Linked DNA regions of Saccharomyces cerevisiae S288C. Changing the gene in region 2 together with the main gene of any one other region gives a genetic interaction. Each region holds a gene or a part of one and is shown on either strand. Other genes may lie near its edges.

Region 1 (3,610 bases), on a different chromosome or scaffold from region 2:
TAGTTTTGTTTTGTTTTGCAGAAACACAAAGCGACGTATAATAAAAACTGAAGTTCGCTATCCAAATGTAACCACTTTAGTTCTTAGGAGACATGGTGGAGTCAACAGCATGGTAAATGACAATTAAAGTCATCATCACAATACCGAAGGTGATGGCCAAGGAGTTCAGCTGTTCATCAGAGATCATCTTTTGCTTGCTCTGTACTGGGTTTCTCTACTGACTTGCAAGTGTAATTGTCGTGTTTGTTTCGAAATACTCTTTATTTATTAAGCTTTTATGAGAATCCGAGACTTTTCCAAATTTGGTCCATTACCCGGGGGTTAATATATCTTGAATAAACCATTGTATTATATCTCACTATATAGTAATTGTACAGTTTTGTCACTACTATAATCTATGCCACACCTTGCGGTTGCTGCTACCATGTCACATTCCCATTCTGCTAGATTCATGCAATTCTCTTAATATTTCAGTGGGTGACGTTAGGTAATTACCTTCTTTAAAACTTCATCTTCTTTTTTGTCATGTCTTTGTTAATATCATTCACATCACTTGTTGGAAGCTCTTCATTGCTTGTATTGGAGTTGCCGTTTGGCCCCAACGTCGTGGTGCGAGGAGAGATACCGCTGTTGCGTCGCCTCTTTGCGTGCAAGGGCTCGCTTCCACTGTCCTTCTTGTCGGCGTCAATGTACGCACTTAGGGCGGTCACGGGACTATCAATGTTCTTTTCAATTTGAAACTTTCGAAGGTTTTTCAAAGTAGACATAACGGTACTTATTTGCATGACTCTCATCAACCCTTCTTGAGTGCCAAACACAGAGACGTTTCTGAATACGTCAAAATATGATCTCAGCTGAGTGATGGCCTCAAAATTCGGAGGAACATTCGTAGCATTATTTTCTGCAAAAGAATTCCCTTGCTCTTTGACATCTTCTTGTTTCAATTTACGGAATATTTGTTCAATTTCTGTAGACTTTGTGTCATCACTCAAAAGCCGTTCCACTGCATTCCATTCAATATCAGGGACAAAACTATGCATAGATACGTCCAGCCAATTAATTTTCAAGTCCAAATCGAAAGCACCTTTCATTTGGGAAAAATGTGTAATATATGAACCATCAGGATAATAATAGACAAATGTGACACGAGGACAGTTGAAAAAAATCGTAGAATTACTTAGAACTTGTGTTTTCAATTGTAAAACCTTAACTTCCATTCTAACGATGCCAAATCTGCCTAATGTAGAGCAAATAACTGGGAACACTGGGATGATAAATTCGAATTCTCTATAATCTGTCATAGACTTTTTACTATACCTTATAACTGCATCAGGTGTAAAAATATCTGATATTAATTCTGTCCAGAATGAAAGCAGGCCAATCTTACCCATTGCCGTATTCACCTCATTTATTATTTCGTACAATTTCAACATCGCCAAATTAGATAAGTATTTTCTTACATGATACGGCACCCGTAACATAGATAAAGATGCCTGGGATGCAGACCGTGGTAACGGAGCAGCTGCCGTTGCTGCTGTAGCCATGGGATGGGGAAAGGATGCTACCGGCGTAAACATTGGCATAGACCCGCTGCCAGGGCCCCCAGTTGCATTCGTATTCTGCGCAGAGTTGTGAAAAGTTTGAGTCACTTGTGGAAGCTGGTTAAACACCTGCTGTTCTGATGAAGGCTGTGGAAATTGACCCCCCTGTGGTTGACCTGGAAATGGCACTTGTTGTGGATAAACCGTGGGCGGTATATTCTGCTGCGCGGTGGGAGGAAAGTTAATATTACCATTTGGGTACGGTGGTGTGTTATTATTCACAATGTAAGGCATCGGCACAGCTTGAGGAGGCGGTTGCGGTGGGCCTTGGTACATATTGCAGATAATCTTTGCTTTTCCTTCTGCCCCATGAACAGTGTCAAGTGTTGTCTTTATTGCTCCATAGTTAATATTTTTAGTTCAGGCGGGAAGCCCCACAAGATGAGAAAAGAAATCCGAGAGGCTTAAACAATACTATATGGGGCAAAGTTCTGCTCTATATAAAGAGAGGCGCATTTGCAAGAAATAGTTAAGAACTTTCCATAAATTGGTCAGATATAAATCAATTTATCGTGCTCAAATATACTATTCAGTTTCTCAGATATAGGTTGCACAAATTGGCAAAGTTCTACAAGAGTCATTCATACATCCCCTGATGAGTAAGATACTATTCTGCAAATCTAAAGTGTTCTTACACCCAACAAGCGATGCTAGAGATAATATTGCTGGTTTCCTGCTACTCACATTGGAAGCGAATAAGCTATCCCACCAAGCAATTCTCCAATATATCCCAGAATCTGGCTTATCCACATTAGAGATATCAAAACTACTAAAACATGAAGCTAAAGTGGGCACATGTCCAACTTCTACACCATTTGTTATTGAAAATTCAATAAACTTTAGTAACCTGGTCAATACTTCTTTAGGTCAAGCTTTCGAAATTTCTCTCTCACAAATATACTGCATCCAATTTAGGCCTCCTAGTCCAAATGGTTGGTATGTCGGATCTCTGGTAATATATCCCTTGACAGAACAGTTTACGGGCTTTCAACCTCCTGTCTTGTTCTTTCATGACCAACTCTGCCCATCAACTACGGACAAGTTAAAAAGACTACGCAAATCCATGAACCCATTTGATGACTCGGACGAATTGTATTGGGGTGGCGTAGATTTGAGAAACAAAATCAACGAACTGATGGAACTCAAGAAATCAAACTTAGAGCCAGAGTTTTGGTTAGTAAATCCCTCTTTGAATGATTTGAGAAATTTCGTTTCCAAGGATCTATTGGAAAGTTATAACAATTCGAAGAAAGATACAACTGAACTCGCTACCGCCGGTGTGAAACTAAACGAGAAATTCCAAGAATGGAAATGGAACGTAATGAGCAAGATAGCAGACGTGACTACCAAGTCTACCAATTTTATCGATAGTTGGCTGACTAACAACTCACCCATACAAAAATCACAAATCGACAATGAATACTTGCAAAAGCTTCTGAACAATGAGAAGGTTAAACAAATTGAACAGGATTATGACTCTGCAAGAGTGTATTTGGCAAACTGGTCATTAGGAGTAAAACAGGAAGCTGAGAGGTATCAAAAGCAGAACAAACTCTTTGATTCGTATAGGAATAACATTTTCAACGACCTGAATCTAACTGATGAATTAAGTGATACTGAAATAAATAATGCTCTGCAAAGACAATTTCCTTTAACGGAAGCGAAATGGAATTCGCTATGGGATGAGAACGATGGGAGGCTGAGGGTCACGGTAAACGAAGTTAAGGATTTCATATTTCATGGTGGGTTAGAAAATGACAGTTTGCGAGGGAAAGTTTGGGGTTTTCTCTTAGAAATATATCCGTGGGATTCTTCTCAAGACGAGAGGGTACAAATCGATCAAACTTTAGCCGCGGAATACGATCAATTGAAACTAACCTGGTCAAAAGATTTTTTACAATTTGACGATGAAGATGAAGAGGAATATTGGAACGATCAATTATTCAGAATATCTAAAGATGTGAGACGCTGTGATAGAAACTTGGAGATATTTCAATACAATACCATCG
Region 2 (3,282 bases):
TTAAGTGAATCCAACGAAGTAATTAAGTCAATTAATGGATATATTGGTTCTACCGAAAAAGTAGAAGACTTACTAGATGAGATTAAAGAGGGTCATGACCGTACCGAAGAGGTCAATGATTTATTAGCTCATTATAATAAAGGTCAAGACGAAGAAGCAGAAGAAGAAATTGAAAGAGAATTAGAACAATTAGAACTTGATGAAAAGAATAATAATAAGGAAGAAAATAAGAACCAGGATTTGCACGAGCCAAAAGAAAGCAGTAGCGAGGATCTATTAAAGAGATTGAATAATCTGAAGATAAATACAAATGAAGGACCTGTGCAAGATAATGAAAACCACGATAATGAGATAAGAAAAATCATGATGGAAGAACAACCACGTTGACGAACTGAGTGACTAATAAATAAATATATATGTATAAATAAAAAATAAATATGAATATTTTAATAGACGGAAGAAAGAAAATATGTGTGAATAACCAAATAGGAAATAAACAAAAGCACATTTAATTGTTGCCGTTATTATTAGAGTAACCTAATGTACGAACTTTGGTATTAGATGCAGAATTATTGGAAGACAAGTTTAGTTCAGACACGTTTTGTCGCAATTGAGAAGTACCATTAGAAGGATACATCCTTGGGGTAGTATATGCTGAAGGAGTCATTGAATCACCACCACCTCCTCCTCCCCCGTCCGACACCATGTCTAAGCTAGATAATTTTTGTAAAGAGTAGTTGGCGCTGTTTGACACATTTGTGCCCAACCTCTGGTAACCAAGACGGGAGGAGGAAGCATCTACTTCCGGTTCTTTCGCCCAAAAAGATGTCAAACCTGAGTAAACCTTGTGTAGAAGAGAAGATTGTTCCATGTAGTCGAATGTTTTGTTATTGGCTTCCAGCGGTTCTAAGATGAGAGTCGATCTGGGCAACAGATCCAACTCTTGCAAACTTTTGAGTTCGTCATTTCGCGTAAGAGTCACTCTTGGTATATTTCTGTGGAAAAGGTAAGGTGTTCCATCATCGTAGCAATTATAGTCTAACCACATCCTTACTTTGTGTAATTTTGTTTGAGGAGGGAAAGTATTAGAGATTGTGTAACCATTGGGCAGTTTCAATTGTAGAGTACAGTAGTTCTGGGCGAGAAACCCCTTTTGACTCTTGTAACTAACATTATCAGTAACTGTCAACTGCTTCCACTTCTGTGGCTTTCTTTGCGGGTCATTAGTATTTTGAAAAACATACTTCCTCTCCAACTTGTCGTTCTGAATCATTCTTTTGACTCTTTGATATTCTTCATTGCTCTTGGAAAATAACTTCCTCTTTGTTACTTGACCCTTAAAGACTGATTGTAACCCATTGATAAAGGTTTCCCAAGGATCCTGCTCACGAGAAAGGCTATTACCTTGGATAGAACATTCGAGTAGACCGTTCTGTAATATGTTAATGCTTGGCGCCGATGAGGAGGGGAAAATGCTCTTGAAAAGCAAGCACTCTTTAGTACCATTTACTAACCTTACCCACAGTATGTTTTCGCGCTCCTCGTCACTAAGATTTCCTGGTTTGAACCACTGATGAAGCCAAGAATTGTCCCCGGCTGCTGAACTAATGTAAACGACGATAACCTGCTCACTAGTATGAGAGTAATCATGAACAACTCGATCATGAAAGAGGCTGTCTATACCTGACATCTCGTACATTTCTGTTATTCAATACCTGTAATTCACTTCCTTTGAGGGTCAAAAATGTCCCCTGTAAGCAAGTGTATAAGTATATAATTATATATATGTGCATATATATGTCCCTATACAACTACTAACGAATCTTAAAAGTTGACTATTCATGTGGAAAAAGTCCCTCTTCTAGGGTTGACGCGCTAGAGGTAAATCCATTAAGGTTCCTCCTGGCTTCGTTAACTCCGAAAAGAATAGCATGTGCAAGATGAGTTACCGAAAGAAGCAATAAAGAAAGCACGAGTACATGTAGAACAGGGGCACAGATAATACCAGACAGATGAGCCCACTTTTAAGAGTTTCAAAACTTCCACGAATGCACAGGGAGAATAAAGTACGCGCTGGGTCCGTTACGATTCGTGCTGCAAGAGGTTTAAAATCGCTCCACAATGGTCTCGCCCCTCGGCCCTTCTCCAATTACAAGCATATTACTAATACAGTTTTCGTTTCTTTTGTAATGTTCAGATAGGAGCGAAAGACTAATTTCGATGGAAATTTTTATCTTCATTTCGATAGTATGTTCAATCAGTTGAACTATGCATCTTTGGTTATCATCATTAACAAATTGAAACGAAAAGCTATCCTGCCAAGAAGGCCGGATAGAGAGATTGAAAAAGATATATAAAGTGTCCTTGTCACACTCATACAACACCTGTTGTATGTCAGGCATACGGCAAATTGACTACAGTTTGCATTTGCACTAATGTCGTTTGCAGTGTAACTGTTGTATTGAACGTGGACAAGGACAAGAAAGATAGTTTTTATCTCTTGATGTTTTTTTATATGGAGGAGAAAGCGACGAAGTCGAAAAAAACGAAAGGAAATAAAATGCTGTCGGAAAAAAAGTTAGGGCTGGTACGGATTATAAACTATCTCAGTAGTTAGGTAATATATAAGATGGCACCAGTCTTAGTACTTGTAAGTTGCTGTTGATTCGTCCCTAGTTATGAATTTGTCTCGTAACAACTTGGCCAAGGCGTCTTTGAACTCACCAACACTAAAGCCTTTTATCTGCTGCTTTACCGTTTCAAATAAATGGTCGTAGTCTAGCCCATTCCTCTCGCTCTTAACGGATCTAGTTATGCATGCCTTTAGTAATTCTTGGGTCCATTGGGAATTACTTCCTTCGTGGTGTGCAGAACTGGTTCTTTCACCGCCTGTGTTGCTACTTTGGAGAGACGCGGTTCTCGGTAGAACCACACGTAGTTTCCCATTTTTCACTTTTTTCATATCAGGTTTGAAGCTCTCGTTGATACTGTATGTGTTGTCAATATCTCTTGTCAGAATTTTATAATTGCAGAAGGATTTTAAGACTAGCGCTAAGTCTTTGTACGCCAGTTTCGTTTGCTCTGATATAACTTGCAAGGTCAAATGATCGCTTTCGTTGAATAAAGTCAGCACACATGTTTGGAAAAGGGTCAATTCAAATATTAGGTTAGTTCCATCCTGTATGATATAAGGCGACTCCACTTCGCAGTGGTGCAAGTTCCACATCGGATATAGCTCTTTTTTGGAAGCATCTGAATCTTCCACTTTATTCTGCTCGTGAT

What was found. A genetic interaction does not mean that the proteins touch.
Region 1: mutations in UBX6 (region 2) and MFG1 together harm fitness more than expected from each alone (negative genetic interaction), as found in Saccharomyces cerevisiae (one large-scale study listed by BioGRID).

Annotation. Positions count from the first base shown.
Region 1 is NC_001136.10:35,064-38,673, reverse strand, and holds MFG1 (Mfg1p), read right to left. Parts: upstream 1,878-3,610; coding exon 501-1,877; downstream 1-500. Other genes in the region: olichyl-diphosphooligosaccharide--protein glycotransferase OST4, read right to left, coding at 77-187; GTPase-activating protein GYP7, read left to right, coding at 2,197-3,610. UniProt on the Saccharomyces cerevisiae protein: Transcriptional regulator with a general role in all morphogenetically distinct forms of filamentous growth, namely haploid invasive growth, biofilm formation, and diploid pseudohyphal growth.
Region 2 is NC_001142.9:346,939-350,220, forward strand, and holds UBX6 (Ubx6p), read right to left. Parts: upstream 1,700-3,282; coding exon 509-1,699; downstream 1-508. Other genes in the region: phosphatidic acid-binding protein CHM7, read left to right, coding at 1-387; YJL047C-A (uncharacterized protein), read right to left, coding at 2,106-2,240; cullin RTT101, read right to left, coding at 2,642-3,282.